3 linked regions of the Lytechinus pictus genome follow. The protein of the gene in region 2 purifies or fractionates together with the protein of the main gene of each other region. This does not show direct contact. Links are inferred from orthologs where the notes say so. Each region holds a gene or a part of one and is shown on either strand. Other genes may lie near its edges.

What was found. Proteins that work in one complex are often made in the same cells at the same time.
Region 1: the proteins of small ribosomal subunit protein RACK1-like (region 2) and vigilin-like purify together in Homo sapiens (affinity purification with mass spectrometry; 3 studies listed by BioGRID and IntAct, with this or other methods). This does not show direct contact. The link is inferred for Lytechinus pictus from reciprocal best matches to the Homo sapiens genes RACK1 and HDLBP.
Region 3: the proteins of small ribosomal subunit protein RACK1-like (region 2) and probable helicase with zinc finger domain purify together in Homo sapiens (affinity purification with mass spectrometry; 3 studies listed by BioGRID and IntAct, counting the BioPlex papers as one, with this or other methods). This does not show direct contact. The link is inferred for Lytechinus pictus from reciprocal best matches to the Homo sapiens genes RACK1 and HELZ.

The regions. Positions count from the first base shown.
Region 1 is NC_087258.1:23,558,859-23,565,836, forward strand, and holds the start of vigilin-like, read left to right. Parts: upstream 1-3,906; 5' UTR 3,907-4,092; intron 4,093-6,313; 5' UTR 6,314-6,347; coding exon 6,348-6,569; intron 6,570-6,978. UniProt on the Homo sapiens protein: Appears to play a role in cell sterol metabolism. It may function to protect cells from over-accumulation of cholesterol.
Region 2 is NC_087262.1:2,288,633-2,295,737, reverse strand, and holds the start of small ribosomal subunit protein RACK1-like, read left to right. Parts: upstream 1-4,011; 5' UTR 4,012-4,020; coding exon 4,021-4,226; intron 4,227-4,980; coding exon 4,981-5,128; intron 5,129-6,448; coding exon 6,449-6,544; intron 6,545-6,889; exon of another isoform or gene 6,890-6,985; intron 6,986-7,105. UniProt on the Homo sapiens protein: Scaffolding protein involved in the recruitment, assembly and/or regulation of a variety of signaling molecules. Interacts with a wide variety of proteins and plays a role in many cellular processes.
Region 3 is NC_087254.1:29,654,590-29,662,549, reverse strand, and holds the start of probable helicase with zinc finger domain, read left to right. Parts: upstream 1-4,888; 5' UTR 4,889-5,325; intron 5,326-7,960. UniProt on the Homo sapiens protein: May act as a helicase that plays a role in RNA metabolism in multiple tissues and organs within the developing embryo.

The DNA.
Region 1 (6,978 bases), on a different chromosome or scaffold from region 2:
AAAAAAAGAAATAATAGAAGAAAGGACATATCGAAACTTCAATCAAACTATGTAAAATAAATAATAATACTTGGTAGAGAAGAGAAAAGAACGTGGTCAGTATTCAGGCTAAATCAACCGTATAACATATTATTTGCATCTCTTTAACTCTCAAGTGAAAGATATTCTTTCAATTTCCTCTTAAAATGCAAAAAGTTTCCTATAATCATTGGGAAGACATGACAAAAAATTCCGAGCAGTTTTTGTAATCATGAAAAGGATGTGTATCTAAGTAACGAATGAACATATGAATAACATATCAAGAAAAAAAATCAAAACATATTGAGTATAAAAACGCTGTATGAGATTTTTATACAGTATACGCCGCGGTTAACTATAATTATGAACCTACATTGTTGGTTGTTTATGATTTTTAAACAAGTTATTAAAATCTTAAACGTACTATTTATATTTAATCTTCAATAAATTAATACTGTTTCCAGAGGGGCTTACCAATACAAGCTATGCTTTTTAATAAGTCCCTCATTTTTATTTTCATTTTCATACGACCTGTAATTTTCAATTATTTCATTATCAAAGTGTGTTTGAAACTACCGTCGACTTATCGATCAAATTTGTATAATATCATTTGTAACTGAAGTATCTATTATGACGTTTATTCTGTTTTGAATATTATGAATGTATGTGTTTGTTGTTATGTTTATTATCTAAAAATGAAAAATAAATAAATTACTGAAAAACTACACGGTTGTTTAAACTGTTAAACAACTATAGGCATATATTGTAAGATTCATAAAATAAACAGCGTTTTATATAATCTTATACAGCGTTTTTACGTATAGCTTAAAGTATGAAATATTATACAATGCATTTCTTTAAGTTCATATAACAGATTTTGGCAACCGAGGGCTATTATACAATTACAGAATAATTAAAATCATTACTAAATCAAGTACTATTCAAATGTATAAGAACTCTCACAATACATGTGATACATTGATAATTTCAAATAGGCCTATATCTGTGATGCAATGATTCAATTCAATTCAATGTGGAGCGTTGTGGCCCAGTGGATTAGTCTTCGGACTTTGAAACAGAGGGTCGTGGGTTCGAATCCCAGCCATGGCGTAATTTCCTTCGGCAAGAAACTGATCCACAATGTGCTGCACTCAACCCAGGTGAGGTAAATGGGTACCGGTAGGAAGTAATTCCTTAAAAAGCTGTGTGCGCTATGAACGCCTAGCTTAGCCGGGTAATATAGGAGCGCCTTGAGCACCTAACAAGGTGGATATGTGCGCAATATAAATACCCTATATTATTAATTCACATACGCTGTCTCAATAATGTTTATCTCGTCATGAAATGTAATTGGTGGATGATAGAGATAAACAAACTGCGTTATACTGGTCCTATTTTGTAGATTTTATTAGATTCAACCTCGTACAACTTCACCACAATAATTCTTCTAAAGAATATAATGATCATCTTTTGACTTTCTATTTATTACCCCCCCCCCCTCTTGTTTGTGTGTATATTTCATTTAAAATTTGATGTTTTTGCTATTAGTGGTTGTTTCCTTTTCCGTGACATTGAAGTACGTTATTGTATACAAGTCAAACATTGGCGTTTTGCAGTTAAATGTTCTTATGCTTTAGTAAAGTATTTTTTTCCTTCTTTCTTGTGTTAATTAAAGGGGTTTTTTCCTGATGCCGTTTTTTCTCCCTTAAACCTCAAAGTTTGTAAATATCTATATTGATTTGTGGTTGTTTTTTTAAATTGATTTGGAAATGAAATCTTCCATGAAAGACTGACGGAAAAATATGAAGTATAGACTGAACTCATTGATCATTATCATACATAACTGGGGTAATGGGAAATAATCTATGTCTGACGATGTGTTGGCCGTGTGCTTTTCGATAAAAAGACATTTTCAAAGAGTATTCGATCTTCGATCGTATATTGCCTAATCTTCTTCTTCTTCTTCTTCTTCTTCATCTTCTTCTTCTTTTGTCTCCACAAAAATCTTGAAAAAAAAAGTTTTTCACTCCCATATGAAGGAATTTCAAGTACTCAAAGAACAAATTTTAGGAGTTGGAAATGGAATAAACCAAATGATATGAAATAATGATTCGGCACTGAAAAAGCCACCCCCCCAAAAAAAAACAATAATAATAAAAGATAAATAAAATAAAATAAAAAATATAAAAATAATAATGATAATAATATTCACATTATAGTACACAAAAAGAATAATAAATGTAGGATATTTTTGTACAAGTCCGGCTTGCCTAGGAAAGGCAAAAGTGAAATAAATAATAGCTATAACCGCCGCATCAACTATGTTTCATAAACCTCTCTTTAGAATGTCGGATAATATTTTCCTCTGATTGGTCATAGTGTATTTGACCATAAATGCCTACAAATTAAACATCAGACTAAGGTGACCAATTAGGGCAACGAACATATCAAGATATTTACCGGTTGCCCCGTGGATCCATGATGCTATTCAACATTTCAACATATGGTAATTGCTTGGTTCGTTTGTCCTTTACCGAGGGCGGACACAAATCTTATTATTGCTTTATTCATTTACAGAAAAAAAACCCGTTGTTTATAATTTTATGCAATGCTGTTTACTACATGCACTTTACACTTATATGCAGATGTTTAACATTTTAAACAACGAAGCAGGGGCGGCGGAACCGAGGGGGCAGGGGCAATTGCTCCCCTTAAAGGTCAAGTCCACCCCGGAAAAATGTTGATTTGAATAAATAGAGAAAAATCAAACTAGCATAACACTGAAAATTTCATCAAAATCGGATGTAAAATAAGAAAGTTATGACATTTTAAAGTTTCGCTTATTTTTCACAAAACAGTAATATGTACAACTCAGTATCATGCGAATGAGTCAGAAGATGATGTCCACCACTCACTATTTCTTTTGTTTTTTATTGTTTGAATTATACAATATTTCATTTTTTACAGATTTGACAATATAAGGACCAAGTTGACTAAATCATATAGTATTAAACAATGCTAATTCCACATGTTCAGGGAGGAATCAATCGTTGTTTCCCTTGACAATGAGGAGAAAATTAGAATATTTCATATTTCATATAATAAAATACAAAAGAAATAGTGAGTGGATGACATCACCAGTCTCCTCATTTGCATACCGACCGGGATGTGCATATAACTGTTTTGCAAAATTAAGCGAAACTTTAAAATGTCATAACTTTCTTATTTTACATCCGATTTTGATGAAATTTTCAGTGTTATTCTTGTTGGATTTTTCTCTTTTTATTCAAATCAACTTTTTGTCGGGGTGGACTTGTCCTTTAAAAAAAAAAATCCCCGTAGAAAAAATACCCTTTTTTTTCAAAATGAAATGTGCCCTTTTTCAAAATGAAATACCCTTTTGGAAGTAAAACATAATACATTTTAGATTCATTCCAACATTGTTAAATGCATTGACTTAAATTGTTTTATCATTTATTTTCAACACACACATTTTATTATTCTGAGAATTATTCTTTTGAAATAGACTAGAATTTGTGATATAATTGCTGCAAATAGCTGCATATATGGCCTATACAGTACTAATATATCAATATGTTTTGAATTTTCTCGATCATCAAGATTTACTCCGAGAAATCAGATATCATAAGTTAAAAACATATTGATTTCTCAATAAGCTATGTTTTCTTAATAACTTTGAACTTGACATAGATCTCGCAGAATCCGCGCTGATTATCTAGTATATTTAATCACAAATTGGTTCGGTATGACAGGTGCATTTCGTCATTTCCTAAGACACGATCTCATTGGATAAAATTTAGCAATGTGTCAACTATTGGCCAATGAACCATCTTGATACACGAAATTGGCAGAAAGGTCATTTCCTTCCCACTTCCGCTAGCTACGTAGGCAGTTGCTTTCCTTGTACGTGCACAGGATTTGACGTCTTGTTTCATTCGGGGAAAGAAACTTTTTATATTTTCAGTGAAAACTGAAAATAACAGAAAGTGGCGGAAACAAAACGAAGAAGTAAACACTAGGACGGATAACCCGGCAAACAGTGACCACTTCAGTGTAAGCTATCACGTATTTTTCTGTGTTTTTATCCTCCAGATTTTGTCATATTTACGTGTTGTCGCGAGTCAAATCGGCCGGGTGCCTTGCGCATCCTCAGACTCAGTCACGGTCGGCGGCTCCGCGCCAGCACATCGACTGTTCAGAAAACGACTTGTATTTGTAAAGCCGAGTTGACACGTTGACACATTTTCATGCATGCCTTTAATTAGTCAATCAGTTAAGGAACATTGTCGTTTGTCAGATATTTTCTCCAAACTTCTTTCATTAATAGTAAATTAAGAGTTTTTTTTTTATTAAAGGAGCGAATAATATTAAATAGATCCTTAAGTTTAACTTAAGTGACTGAGACTGAGTCGTGCAAGAGTGAAAAGTTGAGTCAAGAGTGAGCATGGTGAGTGAGTCATGAATTGATTAATAAAGTGTAGGCCTATGCCAAAGTGAGCGAGAAGTCACGAAAAGATAAAGGAAGGGTAGTGTGTGTAAAATTTAGAGAAAAGTACTAATAGTAGTAATATAGGCAAATTGCACCTGAAAAAACTAATGGTGGGCCACAGAACTCGGATTGAAGCTTGAAATGTTTCATCAAATGATTGCCAGAGGCAGAGCCATGCTGGGCCAATGGCATGCTACATAATGTCAAGTCTGACCTTGCACAATTTTTTTTAATTGTTTGCTTAAAACATAATTCAAGTAATAGCTACCGAATTTGAATTAACGGTAAGAACGTAGGCAAAATTGTGAAGTATATTCGAGGGCCGGGGTTTCGCTGGTATCTCGATCTAAAAATGCTACTGTCATACAATGATGGCACACCGCAACAGAATATTAAAGTTGAACGGAAAGCCAAAACCAAGGCTCCACATTATTTTTTTTTGGTGGTGGCCCGTTTCGGCCACCACCATATAAACCTATAAAGTTTGTTGCCCCGAAAAATATAAAGAAAGACATTAAAATTTAAAAATGAATAAAACTTCTAAAATATTAATTCTGCAGCCACGACACCTAAGTTAAATGTACTTTCACTTTGTGTAACTTGTTACCCTTGTATGTAAACCTGATTTGTGGTAAAATATAATTTTATCATTGTAAATAAATGAAAAGATGTGTGTCAAACGATTCTTGTAGAAAATCTTTAATTCCTGAGAAATTGACAAAAACAAGCTTGGTATTCCACTCAGATGAAGAGTCTTTGTCCAATCAATAATAATACACTGCTATTGTGGAGGGGCCCTTAAACAAACAGTCACACACTCATATATAAGCTATTGATAAATGGTCCTACCTTATCACTCTGTCTCTCAGGCACACTCACTCGTAAAGCGAAGTCCGTACCGTCCGGGGGTTGAGTCTAGAATGGCTTCTTGGATTGTGTGTTGTGTGTAGTGCAGTGGTACTGAGTGCAGATCTATATTGTGTCCGTATTCCGGCCGGTGGGTCAGGTGACTCGCGTATGGAGTGGTGTCGTCTGCTATTTATGTCGTCTGCTATTTATATCGTCTGCTCAAACTACTATACTGATACCCCCGACCACCTTACTGCCACACATCCATATACATATCTGCCTATCGGTGTTGATCTTCGTTGTGGTCCTTTTTTTCAGATTAGATTGCATGATTGCACAGTAAGGTCTTCGTAATTAAAGCAGACATAGATCTACCATTATGGTGGCCACTTTTGATATTTGATTGATAAAAATGATAGCATTTATTCCATTCATCCTAAAAAACAACAAAACAAGGTACATACAAAGTTAACATTCATTACGTGGGAAAATCGTAAACATAATGCAATGATAAAATCTGGAAAATGTTTGAAAAAAAGAGTATTCATAATTTATAAATGAATGAGGAGGCAACTAGAAAGGCAAAGCCTTGTTAGTGCTGCCACCTTTACAAAAACTGAATAGGTGATATTGTGAAATGTATGATGTAATAAAAACTGAGTACCACATAATCATTGAGCATGAAAAGGGGAAATACACATTTTAACACGAATGACAAAAAAATATAATCAACATTAATTACATGTACTATAAAACCGAAAGGGTGAAAAAAAAGATTAAAAAAAAAAAAAATCTTGAAATCATTGTTCTCTGCAAAGTTCTACAATATAGACCCTTCAGGCCCCCTGTGGACTTTTACGATGAATGCTTATACAATGCTAGAAGATACACATTCATTGTTTGTTTCCAACTTTTTTTTTCTTTCTTCAACTATAGTGGTGCTGTCTGACTTTGATCACGACCCTAGACCATGAGTACGGATCCTCAATATTTGCCTGGCGGCAGTGCCCCGGCTCCAGCCGTTGACCCCAATGGCTTCAACATCGAAGAAGAAGCCTACGAACCTCCCACCTACGATGAAGCTTTTCCCCCCATGGAGAGCGCCGCCATGGGCGGCGGGCCAAAGGGAGGCCCAAGTGGACGCGGGCCGTCCTATGCCAGAATGGCAGTCAAGTCTTCCATAGTTACTCAGGTAATACATTTGAACACTTGCCTGTACCCTTTTACTTATTAAAAGTGACAATTTTCTAACTGGTGATAGGCAGGACACATGTAGCCTACTCCATGACATGTTATCTACATGTACTACAGATTTGTGCACTTTGACTATGGCTGTCTCAGTGTTGGGGAAAGATATTTCTGATATGAAATGAAATGATCCTGATATCCTTTATGTGTCATGTACATCTGGAGACCGCTTTCTGCCATTGAGAAAACCGTGTACGGTGTGTTTGAAACAGAAATCGTAATTTTTAACATTCACCAGTCTCAAGTATTGTTGATTGTTTCATATTTTGAGTAGTTCTGTTTTCATGTATCTGTAAGAAATTGTTTTGTTTGATCCTTATGTGGGCCAAAAAGTTTTTAAGAATCAAAGATTC
Region 2 (7,105 bases):
TTTTTTCGGTCCCCCTTTGATAACCTTTTTTTGTCAAAAATTTTGGTGCCCTCCCCTAAATTTTTTTGATTGCCGCCGCTAATAGTGCCCTCCCCCCTTTGGAAAATCCTGGACCCTCCCTTGCCTAGATATAGATGTTTAAAGAATTTATTATTTTGAAAGTCAGTGCCCCCGCCCCCCATGCTTTAGTTATCATGGCATAAAACTTATGTCATATCTAATCCTTATATCAGCAAGAGGTCAGAGCATACTATCCGTCACCAAACGACTGCATTTGAGCCATTTTTTTTCTCTTTTCTCTTCTTTCTATTTTTTGTTGTTATTTAATCATTGTTTATTTGGATAAGCTCGGATCCGAGACTAACTGGGACGGTGAACGCACTTTCGTTCGAGTTGTGTATTTGGGTAACAATAGGCCGAGGCGAGAAAGGACACGCCCACAATCCCTCGTTCAGTGCCGAGCTCTGTGCATACGTGTCGACGAAATTTCAAAATGAAATTTGTACACAAATCTGTCACAATTCGGACCCACTTTAGCCTCAGATTAACAGATATTTAGATCTCTTTGGAACACTAAAAGTCATTCACTTGGGTTTTTTAATATGCTGATTCAGGTGAGGTACTTTTCAATGCCTTTAAACATAGATTTAAAAAATTAGATTTTCGTTTTGGGATCCCTACTTAAGTCTTAACGTCTTGAGTAAGCATAAGACTCTTAATAAGACATTCATAGTCATAGATCTCTAAAACTAAAAGTACTTGCAGTTTTTTTAGGACCAAAACAAAAATATAATCATTGAATCAAATAAAAATCATGTTTATCTGTAGACGTAGTACAAATGTTGAACATTAATGTTATAAAAAAATTAGGGTAGGCCTAAACGGAATTTGTTTACTTAACAGAAGCTTGTGTTTTGCCAAAAATTGGACGCAGTTTCCAAATCTTAGAAGCGTAGAGTTGTGCGCCGCGATCAATATCGGCGATATAAATCGCACACTTGACTCCATAATAATTGCTTACATGTAATTGCTGATAAAACAATTTATTTTAGCTGCGCAAATGCCGATTTTAATTGTTATTACTATCAATAATTTGATATAGAAATCGGTAAAGGAAATTTACTTACCAATACAATCAGTAGAGGCGCACGGCCAATATGGGAGACTCTCCAATAGGGGAGACAATCTCCCACATTGGAGACTTGCTTTGCAAAAGGACAAAAGAAACAACACCAACAAAAGCATGATTTATTTCCACCCAAAATTTTGTCTCACTGAGGTCAGAAGCCCATTTGTTTTGTGTGTGATTGACAACAAAAATCCTTATCAAAACAAAAGTAGACGGTGAATATTTAAAGAATATTTAAAGTAGACGGTGAAAAGGGGTAATTTTTCATGAGGAATCTGCTTATCACATTTTTATTTGCCGCCAAGGTAATCCTTTTGCAGCAAATGTAAACAAAGGAAATTGGACTCCAAAACTGGAGACTGTCTCTGAAATTGGATACCCAAATTCTTTACAAAAGTCTCTGATATTGGAGATAATCTCCCACATTGGAGACAGTCTCCAATATTGGCCGTGCGCCTCTACTGACAATAGACCTCTTTCGGCTCTGAACACTGGACGTTTTCGCTTAGACAGCTGGAAGCCGTCTGATCGAGGAGTTTATTAACTTTTTTTTTTTTTTTCTTAGGGAAATCCATCTTTGTTTACATGTCTCTCTTATGCATATATGGGAGGGGATTCAAGACTCCAATGATGAAGAAGTATGTGTCACTTTAAAAAAAAAAGACATCATCATGGAGTCCTCAAGACAAGATTTTACCCCTGGATTTTTTTTGAGCAGCAACTTGGATCTACTGTACACTATATGTGCAGTTCAATAGCAGGTATGTTCATGTATCTCATGCATGCAAGTCCCCTGCCAGTGCATGGCCTGTAGTTATGGGGAGAGAGTTGAAGTCATTTTCGTCCGATATTTGGAACCGTCCATTTGGGGACTTTACTCTACCTGCTATTGAACTGCACACACAGTATATTGGGCCCCAAATTAAAATGCTTTACACCCAGCTGAGCTATTATTTTCAGATCATCGACTTTGTGGAATACCCGGTATGTCAACACTACAGGATTTTTTTTTTTTTTGGGGGGGGGGGCTTCTATGGTTAGCAGAAAAACTGGTATGAAAGATATCTCAATACACTGAACAGATTATTTTACAAAAAAAAGAGAAATATTCTGCATGTCATCACAGTCATATTAAAAGGAAAACTTCTTGATTTATGACCATGCCTAAATGGACTGACTGGCCTTTACCTGTAAACGAATCGGACAATCTCAGCCAGTGAAACCATTACTCTCAGCTAATCACATGACCAGTCACATGGCAGCAGTACTGTGTGTGCGCGTGCACACACAATATTGCACACACTTAACAAGCTAAACGTGCATGGCCGGGCGGCTAGCTATAGGATGCATATCGTCTCGATCCCTCGCACACAAGGCCATGAGTCATGAGTTCCGACTTCTGATCATACACATCAGTCAAAATCAACATGGGGAAAGAATGGAAATAAGGTAGGGATGCTTGGCCTTTGACCTGTCCCCTCGACCATTACACTAGTTGGATGGATTGCTTTTTAAAAACAGTTTCATGACTTTAACTGCGATGACAGATGACACCTCAAATCTTATCAAACCATGGGGGGGGGGGGGTTATTTACCGGGCTCGAGGTATGCAAAGTGGAACCCGACCCGTAATGTTCCGAGCCGGACAATGTCAACTCGTTTGGTAAACAATCCGAGCTACAGGACTAGAAATCAATTCTGACACTTGATCCCAAAGGAAAGGTAAAAAATGAGTATTTCCATTGGATTTGCCATTATCAATACTACAAAATCCTGCTAGTTTACAAAAATATGGTACATTTATTCACAAGATACAAGACTTTGAAACTCCTTTTTTAAGGCCACATCAAAATTATAGTAGTAACAAAATGTAAACTAAATAGGTTAATTGTAGCATTTTAGTCTCCTTAATTTGTTACCAAAACCAATAAATTTGGATAACGGGACCATATGTCAGAAATGCGTTGAACTTTGATTTTTCCCTCAAAACCATGACTATTTTGGGCTGTGTGAATGTGAAATTTGTGAAAAGGGCGAAATTTTTTGCTCTGTGTGCAGTCACCCTAATAATATCATATTTCGCCCTAGACAGGAATAACCATCGTTTCTGGGGATCTATTTAACAATTTCTGACATTTTACTATCATCCTCATTCGCCGACGGTTAGCCAGGAGGCTCCTGGAGATTAATGTAATATCACTGACGTGCTTAATCTCCACGGAGCCAGGGATGGGATGCCATTGCTCTACACAAATCAAGTATTTTGGCAACAATAAAGTTGCTCCAAAATACCGGTTTTCTTTAGGGTTTTGAACCCAAACTTATGTAAATGGGCTACAATACAAATTGGACCCTTTTATCACTAAAGGGTCATATTTCTAAGCAATATTAAACATTAAAAGATATATGGAAAATATTAAAAGTAGAGGAGCGTTTACTCACAGTCTGTTGTCGCCATCTGCCATCTGTGTTATTGTAGCCTAGCTACAAGACTTGTATAGAGGGTGACAATATCATGAGCAGTGTTAACTTAGATTAACAAATATCATGAATCTTACCATAAAAATACTTGCATCGGCTGATAAGATTCATGATATTCAAATTTGAATTGACAGCTTATTTCATTTTTTTCTCACCTGCGTCTCAGAGTGAGACTATAAGCGCCGTTTTTCCGACGGCGGCGTCAACATTGCGCAACACTGCCTTCCATTACAATAGAAAGATTTCAAGGTACATGAAAACATTGGTAAATTCCCCCCCCTCCCAAAAAAAAAAATAAAACACCCAAAATATTGTGGGTTAAAGTATGAGTTAGGGTGGTCCTTCAGAGAAGGTAATACAGTAGTTATCATTTCAGATAGATTTCATGTTTATCAGAAATTTTTGTCTAAATGCACTTTCCACAATCTTTTTTTTGTTCGACAGACAAGACCGTGATTGTTTGGGATTTGACACGTAATGACGTCAGCTATGGTGTACCCAAGAGGAGTTTGAAAGGGCATAATCACTTTGTATCCGATGTCGTCACGTCTTCTGATGGACAGTTTGCCTTGACCGGATCATGGGATAAGACACTCCGATTGTGGGATATTGGAACGTAAGTTTGAATGTAAAACCAGATATTTTTCAAACTGGGCGGATTCCAAGAACATTTGATAAGTAAACAATACTCTTTTATCAATTCCCAAGGATAATATGTGACCTACCACCCCAAAACCACCAATAAGTCGCCAGGTAAGGTTCTCTGTAAAAAGCCAAAATAGTAAATTGGTCTTCAAAACCAAAAATTATAAAAACAGCTTATCTGAAAGAGCAATTCTTCTTCATACCGTGAAAATTTGAAGTCATTAAGTTGAATAAAAGATACAAGAGTTTCTTGGACACTACTTTTACAGACTGCTTGGAAGTTTCCCTGAGATTATGCTCATTTGATTTTTCTCATTTTTCTGGGGTGGACTTGACCTTTGAATATATGCCGGTTGTGTGAACAATCTGAAAACGAGTTTGAACAAAAAATGTCTGTCCCATATGTGCTTATCTGTGTTGGTGATCCTCAGCATGGTAATTTTTCCACCTTTGATGTCATGATTTTAATGCTTAGATGTATGTAAATAAAACGGATCTAGATCTACCAAGATATGGTACAATACTTCAATTAATTTTGATAATGATATGAAAGACTTTCTCATGAGATAATTCTTTCCTGCAACTGTTGTAATACCTCACATTCTCACTGACATTTTCATTTAAGAATATTGCTTATGAAACTTGAGAGGGGGGGGGGGGAGAGAGACTGTAGCTGTTTGTCTGTGATCAACCAAAATCTTATGTACATTTGAAACCCCTTACAGTGGCAAGACCACCCGTACGTTTAATGGTCACACCAAGGATGTCCTGAGTGTTGCCTTCTCTGCTGACAATCGTCAGATTGTATCCGGTTCTAGGGATCGCACCATCAAGCTCTGGAATACCCTTGGAGTGTGCAAGTACACCATCCAGGTAAGTCCAGCTTTCAAATAATCTGGTGGGTGTGTCATAAACACTTACGAGAGTAAATAATCAGCATTTTAGCATGACAGAAAGTCCCACTGAACTCTTTGTGAAACATGCCCCAGTTTGTAGTTAGCTCATGTCACAAAAGACTTCTAATATCCATAGATATCCATGGAGAAATCATTTTATGCACTTACATTATCAGCACTCGCAAAGTAACCGAAGTACCTCATAAATGTAGAGTTTTTTTTAAATTACCATGGAATGTACTGGATGAACAAGGTTACTCCAATCATTACAACCATCTTTCAGCTACATGTACGAGCACTAGAGACAAGCAATTCTAGTCACCCACATTATACGATCAATGAGGCTGTATGTGTGCAATCTACTTTGCATCAATCAAATTTGCTTTGTCAGGCATCCTATAAGACCACGGTCAGATTGTGTATGCATATCTGCTTTTAGAGGCGTTAGTTGCTGGGAATGATAAACCCTAAAAGGCCCGGGGGGGCCTACATTTTTCACGGTAAATCTGCCGCGTGAAATTTTTAAACCGCCCTGCTCGCTGACTTTTTACTTTCATATCTCGCACAACTTTTGAGACCAAATTTGCGGTGCCCGGGTACGCAGTTACAAAATTACGCAACATTATGTAAGTGCATGTCAGACCAAAAACTGCTCAAAAACATGAATTTATGTACAAATCCAATGCAAATTGTGTATTTAGCCAAAATTCATAAATGTATCATTTCTTTGTTTACTGATTAATAGTTTGTCTTGTTTATGGTCAGAATTAAGTCTGCAACAATTTCCATTAAAAAAACACTAACAAAAAGTCAAAAAACAAAGAAATACATAAGAAATTTTAAAAACAATAAAATAAGAAAAAAATTGCGATACCAATTTTTTTTTAAACATACGATCGAGATCCTACAAAGAATCTGAATAAAAACTTAGCAGTTTTGAGGCCGTATGATAATTGATTAGAGCAAATGTTTTATTTCATGCATGAATGAGCATAATTAATTCATTAAATGAGAATTACAGCCTTGTAGATTTTATTGCACACTACCACTTAGCAAATTTTTGCGGTGCTCGCGCGTTCGAAGGCCCCCTGGCTGTGAGAGGGTCCAAATAACCTGGCTCTTTTAGGGTTAAATGACTCTTGATTGTGCCAATGGTGTGCTAGGCAATTTTATAGTAAAAACCGCTAGATACATGTAATTGTTGAATTTCCCCTAACATTGTACAGTAAGTTTTTAAAAAATGATGCTAATAAGAATGTATGATAGTTGAGCTCACTGTTTGATTTTGGTTTTACAGGACGACTGCCACTCCAATTGGGTATCATGCGTCAGGTTCTCACCGAATGCTTCGAACCCTATCATTGTCTCTGGAGGCTGGGACAGGGTCGTCAAGGTAAGACTAACCAATCTCACTCTTTACCTTATGATTAAGTCTTTTTAGAACTGTTTTTAGGAAGAATATCCTTTTCAGGGTCATTTTCTTTCAGGATCATGTGGCACATCATTGTTGGTAAAAACACCATGATGGTAAGATGATTGGATTCTGTTCCAACTCTAAGATATTACCATAACTAGAATTTATGTTTGAGGATGTGGAAGGATGAAAATGTCATTCTTTGAAAAAGTGTCACTGCTGACCATATTCAGTAGTGATTTTGAGTAAATTTGAACAACTGGAGGGAAAGTGATGGTTGTTCTATGTAGGCTGAATGAACCAAAAGAATTGGATCATGTGGGTGGTGCCCATTGAGGCGTTCCTAAAGCTACTGTTCCTGTGTAGTCTTGGGGCTGTAATGGGCATAGAGAGAATGGTGTCTGTCTGCATGCTACTACTTTATGTCCTGGGGTCCTCGGGAGTATCGTGTAGTAGTAGCGCGTGATACATTCACCTACATAATTCTCATAAAAAATTATCTATGGGAAATTAAGTCACCTACTTGTATACCACTTTCAT
Region 3 (7,960 bases), on a different chromosome or scaffold from region 2:
ATTTTAATTTATGAAACACCGTAAGCTTCAGGATAAGTGCTGGCACGCTTCGCGTGCATTTACTGCCCCCTCCAAAATGAAATCCTGGCTACGCGGTTGTATTGCTATCTTGTTCACGATTGTAAAAATTTATTGAAATTTTCCATTCTTTACGTAGAAATGTCAAAATATATCTCGCTCGCATTATATAAATAAGGATTATGATATTATATATTCATGTTGATTAATAAGAATAGAGCTAAAAAGTGACTATTAGGATTACCCCTTCAAAGAAACCAAAAATCATCTTCGAGCGGCCGATCTGGGAAAATATTGCTGAAAAAAAATTCCGCCCCCCCCCCTATTGGCGAAGGCTGGATCCGCCCCTGCGCTAAATGGTAAATAAAATGTTGGTGATTTTTTTTTTACCCGATTGCTAAAAAAGCATAATGCTTGTAAAAAGTTGTAAGCATTGCAAGCAGTTCTTCGGGCAATTCTTTTAATGAAAATTTTCACCCAAAGTATCAGGCATGCAAAGTATGCAATTTTAAATGCAAGATCGCCCCAATTAAATGCAAGCTTAGTCGTTTCGCGCTATCATTTTTCAAATTTCTTATAAAATTTGTATGCATCGATCCTGCCGAGGCTCCTCCCGCAAAAAAATTCTGCAAACAGCCATGTGCAAATGAAATTTAGAAGAAAAAAAACAAAAAATAAAGATATACATGCAGAAAATGTTGAGAATCTCAAAATGAAAGACTCTATATATATCAAGCGCACAAATTCATTACAATTTATTCTGGTCTTTCAGGCTGCCCATAATCATGCAGCGTAGGCAGGCTAGCTACGTGAGCTTTACGTCTGTTAGTCTGCAGGCACAGACCCTTAAATGGTTTTCGTAATTCGCATAGTGCACAATGCAGAGAGTCTGAAGTAGTGAGACTAGATTCACTATGTACTGTGACTGGCTCTGACCATGGACCATAGCATGGACCTACTACACACAGTAGGTCCATAGTGACCATGGACCTATTTAATAGGTCCATGCTCTGACAAAGACACCGCGCTTCTTTTTCTGTCTTGTGGTGTGTTGGCAGCCAGTAAAAAATGACATTTTTTGCCACTGCTTTTGGGGCTGAATTTGGGGCCTTCTTTGAGAGGATGAAAAGCTTCTTTCCCTTCATCCATTTTTTTTCTATTTTATTTCCTTTCTTTCCTTCTCATTCTTTTTCCATTTTTTCTCCTTTTGTTTTCTTTTCTGTTGATCTTTCATTCTTTCTTTGTCTTTCTTTTCTTTTTCTTCCTTTTCTTCTCTGTATCATTTTTTTCTTTTCTTCTTGTTTTCCTCTTTTCCTTTAATTATAGTCTAGTCTTTACTCCCGGGGGGGGGGGGGCACTTCCATTCACGAGTGGATACCTTGCGCGACCATGGGGTCTCGAAAAGCACCCTAAACACATATTTTCCATATACTGAAAATGCACCCCTTAACAAGTATTGGCGTGTAAAACCCTACCCTTGAAGGACAAGTCCACCCCAACAAAAAGTTGATTTGAACAAATAGAGAAAAATCCAAGAAGCATAATACTGAAAATTTCATCAAAATCGGATGTAAAATAGGAAAGTTATGACATTTTCAAGTTTTGCTAAATTTCTAAAAACAGTTATATATGCACATACTGGTCGGTATGCAAATGAGGGGACTGATGACGTCACTCACTCACTATTTCTTTTGTATTCAATTAAATGATATATTAAATATTTTAATTTTCTCCTCATTGGAAGGTGAAACAAGATTTTGGTGGGTTGTGAGGAGTCCCGGGGGGGGGGGGGGGCACTTACATTGACGACTCATTTTGTATGTAGGCCTACTTGGCAAATCAAATACTAGTAATGCGAGCGCACAGCGCAAAAAGATGCTAATGATATTAACAACATAAAACTGACATTACAGAGCACTTTAAAAAAATCAATTTGTAAATCAAACCAAATAATGAAAGCTCGATATCCGAGCTGAAATATGTTGTGTATATTGACTTCAAAAATTGATATTTTAAGCTACATATCAGCCTATTGAGCAAGATGTGTATCTCATCAACAGGCTATGCGAGCGCGAAGCGCGAGCGAAAATTTAATATAGTGACATTTTCCAAGTCTTCCCTGACCTTATTTTTATTCATTCGTCTCCCTCTTATTTTTTCCTCTTTATCCTCCTTTCTTTCCCCTTCTTTTTCTTTTTTTTTCTTTCTTTCCCTCTTTTTTCATTTTTTTTGCTCCGCCAATAGGGGTGCCCGGGCCCCTCGCCCCCCTGGATCCGCCTTTGGGGGTGCACATCTTTGGGAGGTGGAACAAAGTTCGGAAAATCAGCTGATGAAAGCAGAAGGGGTACAAACTTCGTTTTGCCAATGTCGGAACTACTCTGCCTCACCAGAGTGCACCCCCAGCCTACGCCTTTGTATTACATGAAATGTCCAAAAGTTTGTGAGCTCGCGATTAGCGCTCTCAACATCTTTTAAGGATGCAGCGCCATGACCCAAAAAGTAAGTTTTACAACTTCAGATTTAAAAGTTGTGACAAACCACTCGGTCGCTACGCTCCCTCGTGGAAAAAATAAAGCCTAAATATATATCTCGCTGAAACAAATACATGTAATGAAAGCTCAAATCGCGAGGATAATAATTTGTGCGTATCGACTTCAGAAAACGGGATATATGTTGTAAAAATATATTTCGAACCCCAGCTTGAGCAAATTTTTATCTCACTGAAGACAGCGCGAGCGCGAAGCGCAAGCGAAACTCTCTGTTTTATACAATGACCCATGAAAGTTTGCTATCATTATCATTATTAATTTTATCAATAATGATAATAATAATAATTATTATTATTATCCAGTCATTCCACTTTCCTGGTTTCACTTACTTTCCTTCGTCCTCTTATCTTAATTCTGTTTTTGGTGAATTTCTTCCCCTTTTTCGCAATGTCCCGGGAGGTCGAGACATGCACGCCTTCTACGCCTACTTCGCCCCCCCCCCCTTGGATGAAGCCAGCTAAACGTCTTTTAAGGGACAATATTTATAATTGTGATTATGCCCCAATAGTATTTTCCCTGAATGTTTTCTGTTTTTCCATATATATATATATATTATATATATTGAGTAACTGGAAATCCTAACTGGAAACACGGGTCGTGTGGTCCAGTGGTTAGAGCATTGGAATCATAATCGCAAGATTGTGAGTTCGAATCCTAACTCTGCCATTGTCTCCACTTTGATAAAAAGGCCCAAGAGTGATATCTGTCGTCTATTACGTCAGCCACTATGACTGATTAACCTAGACGTAAAATGTTTCCAAGGTAATTGGTTATATACCAGCTTGGCGTTTACCAGCAAACAATGCTGTCCTGCCGAGTTCCTACGGGAGTTACCACAGACAGAAACAGAAACAGAAACCACGGGGGCGTTTCATCAATATTTTTGTCCGACAAGTTGTCAGATCTGACAACTTTCCTGGATTCTGATTGGTTGAGAAGCACTGTTACTATAGCAACTGTCGGATAAAACAGGACTTGTCGGATAAAACGTCCGACAAGTCCTTTCATGAAACGCTCCCCTGGTAACTGGAAATGACTTCTAACTGGAAAGTTGGGTACTACTGCTGACTTCTAATGGGAACCAGTTGGATAAACTGGGAATCCTAACTGGAACCAGTAGTAGGGTAACTGGAAATCCTAACTGGATCCAGTTGGGTAACTGGAAATGACTTCCAATTGGTTTCCAATTGGAAATTTTTCCAGTTACCCAACTGGATCCAATTGAAACCAGTTGATTTGCATATTATCTGCCAATGTGTACAGATTAATGTTCATCATCATTTACAATGGTTGGTTGGTGTTGGAGTTAAGTTGGCGCTCTTCAATCTATAGTAGATTATCTGCGCCACAATGTATCTATTCATTCTCAATTAGTGCCTCATTTGTTTAAGATAAATGTTTAGAATAGTTAGCAGTGAAAACCATGTTTAAAATTATTATAGATTAGGATTTTAACAGATTAAAAGATAATTAGTACACCACTAACTGTTACCAAATTACATCAAATACAAATACATATATTCGAAGCTCCTCCATATAAATACATGTATATATGTACGAGAGTCTAATGACCTTTACATTGGTATTAATAGACATATAACAATGCTTCTGTGTTGGCATAAGCAATAGTTAGTACAAATGCTAATTAATTTGTAATTAATTAAGTTCATTCCAACTGAAAGTTCCAACTGGTTCCTGTTGAAACCAATTGGTTTCAACTGGAACCAGTTGCCTCCAATTGGTTTCTACTGGATTGAAACCAGTTGCCTCCAATTGGATTCAGCTGGTTTTGATAGGAAAATTGGAACAACTTGAACCAACTGAGAGGCAGTTGCCTAGTTGGATTCAACTGGAACCAATTGAAACGAATTGCCAACTGCATGGTTCCAGTTGCCCAATTGATTTTAACTGGAACCAATTGGCAACTGGTTTCAAATTGGTTTTGCTCTAATGCATGGTTTCAACTGGATTTTGGTCCTGGGAGATATATATATATATATATATGCATCTATATATATATATATATATATATATATATACATTTTATATATATATATATTATATATATATATAATTGTTCTCTTCATCCATTTCTTTCACAAAATATTTAAACAACTTAGTTGCCAAAGCTGTTGTACATGTATAACTTCACACATTTATATTATATATATATATATATTTCGACACAAACCTCACGTCTTTGTCAGGGATACAAAGCTCACAGTGACAAGATACTGATATTTCAATATCTTGTCACTGTAGGCCTATATTTCACATATAAATTCACTTTTACTTTGGATATGGGGATATTGGACAGCATTGCTCATGCAGTGACAGGTGCACCACCTCATCCCCGGCCGCCAGGGCCGCCAGTGAGGGCCAGTAACTGCATACATCCAAATTTGAGAAAGAAGATTATTTTTTTAATTTTCAATGCATGAAAAAAGGTCTGCCATATTCGATCAAATTGAGCCCTATCAATTTTTGTTAAATTTTGTAGCCATACTATATGAGTTACAGTATTCTGTATTCCACGTTCAAGGCATATCACAATAAAGATGAATATATACGGGCGCGCCGTGACGGTCAGCTAGCTAGTCAGCTGATCATACCCGAGCACTGCTGCTATGCATGCTGCGCTAGCGCTGCTATATTCTCGATCGCTAGCTAGACTAGGCGCGCGCGCTAGTTACAATCGTGTTGTTGGCATAATGGCGGAGGATGAGGGAGATACTTGACAAGGTTTGTGCAATTTTAGGTGAGTTAAAAACCCATCATATTTTCCCTGATATTTTTCCTAACATAAATACAACTGAAGATGTGGAAAGGGGCTATGCCTGTAGAATATTGGGTTTTTAATGCTAAGTTTGAAAATGTTTTATTGTCGAGGTCTTTTTTGTTTCGTAATGTTTCATTGATTGCGACGCACAGCACAATTTCCACAAACAGCAAGTTTACTGTCATGACTGTCTACTAGTCGGTGAGCTACACTATTCATCAATAACATGAAACCCCGGACATGAAACATGCTGAACTTGGTCAGAGTGACAGAGAGAAGTGTGCATGAAATTAAAATGAATGGTCGCTGCTCGCCATTGTTATCTTGGTTTTTACTTTTAACTGTTTAAGGTGCGTACCATTTTGATTAACCCAGGGAGCTCCCGCCCGCGCAGTGGGCGGGAGCCCAGGGGCTTTCCGCGTATTTGACCATACTCACGGGACAAGGGTGATTTATGGTCTAAATATTTCTCCAAATGAATTGTGAAAACAGAAATTATGCACTTACCACGATTATATGGATGAACAGTAGAGGCGCACGGCCAATATGGGAGACTCTCTCCAATAGGGGAGACAATCTCCCACATTGGAGACTTGCTTAATTTGCAAAAGGACAAAAGAAACAACACCAACAAAAGCATGATTTTTTCCACCCAAAATTTTGTCTCACTGAGGTCAGAAGCCCATTCGTTTTGTGTGTGATTGACAACAAAAATCCTTATCAAAACAAAAGTAGATGGTGAATTTTTAAAGTAGACGGTGAAAAGGGGTAATTTTTCATGAGGAATCTGCTTATCACATTTTTATTTGCCGCCAAGGTAATCCTTTTGCAGCAAATGTAAACAAAGGAAATTGGTATCCAAAACTGGAGACTGTCTCTGAAATTGGATACCCAAATTCTTTACAAAAGTCTCTGATATTGGAGATAATCTCCCACATTGGAGACAGTCTCTAATATTGACCGTGCGCCTCTACTGATGAAGGTCTAACGAGTGGCAGTTTCCTGACATCTGGGCACAGACTGGAACCTCAAAAAACGAAAAGTTCTCTCCTACCCCCGTCTCGATCGGCCATTTTTGTTATGAATCGTAACAAAATGGCCGATCGAGACTGGTAGAAGGAGAGAACTTTTCGTTTATAAATATTTAGACCATAAATCACCCTTGTCCCGTGAGTATGGTCAAATACACGGTAAGCCCCTGGGCTCCCGCCCGTGCTCCCTGGGTTACATTTTGATATGAATATTAACTCCTTTTTGGGGGGGCATGAGATGTATACCCAGTTGTTGTGTGTCCGGAGGATCAATTTTAGAAAGTCGTTTGGAAAAATTACAAGCGAAGTTTCAGCAATTTTTAGTACAAAATGTTAGGAAATATTCTAAAGAACAAAATAGAAGATGACTACAAAGATTGAATTCATATTCTTAGTGTAAACCAAAGACCAAAAAGAAGGCTTCAAAAATATAAAGTGTCTGGACACCCGACCCCCCATCCTATGTAGCTGGCATAGAGACTATACCTTTATCGCAAATAGATTCACGCAAAGGATCATGGGATCAAAAAGGGAGCGATAGCGCCGCTATTGTCCGGATGCGACCATGCGAATGCAAGCAGCCAACAATAACGTGTACGATTTCCATAGTGTTTCAAAATATGATGGACGCCCGCAGCCAACATTTTGCTAACTTCCAGTAATATTTCATATTTGTTCCAGAGTCTAAGTCTAACAATCACTTTTCTTCTTAATTACGGGTGGCAGAGATAGATGTGCTGTCTATAGCTGCAAGAATTAACCACAAATTTATGAAGACAAGTGCAATTTTGTGTCATTTTCGCGCACTGTGCGTATTCTGAGCTGTGCAGCTGTGATTGTGCAAAGTGCGCTTGTAACGTTATGCAGGACTGCGGGCACTCTCGGCCCAGGGACAGTGGGGAGGTGGAGGAAAGTCCCGGAATTCCAAGGAAAATAATAAATTGATGATCATTAAAACAAACTCTGCAGTAGATTTGATTACTTTATTCTAGTCATTTTAGTAATATATCAATCGATTGTCAAGAATACATGTTTCATGAATAATTATCTCAATCATGATTTTATTCAGATATTAACCTAGCTGTGTTTTCTTTTTTCTCTCCATTACATGTAATTCAGGATTATGGTGGGACATTCTGAAGTTCTATTAGTGGCCACTCATTCAATGAACAAGGTTATGATATAACCTTGTTCTCAGTTATATCTCCATGTGTGGCAAAATAAGGATGGCAATGTTTGGCTTATTTTCTCTTTTTCCTTGGGACAAATGCTTGATTTTTTTACACTGACAGTTTCCATTACACCTATTCGTCATAGAACTTGGCCCTTAAGTAAATTTGATTCTTTTAATTATTTTTTTCTTAATTAAAAATAGAGATAAAAAAATGAAAATTTTCTTGCCATATTATTTTCCACAAAAATATGCCCAAAAATTCAAGGTTTTGAGCGCTCTAGTGAATACAAAATTCATTCTCAAGTTACTAATTAAAAATAAATAGCAACTGTATGGAAATTAGTAATTTTGGTCACAAAAGTGATATTTTAATCATTTTTTAAAGTGTGTGCTCTGTACAGCATTGGCA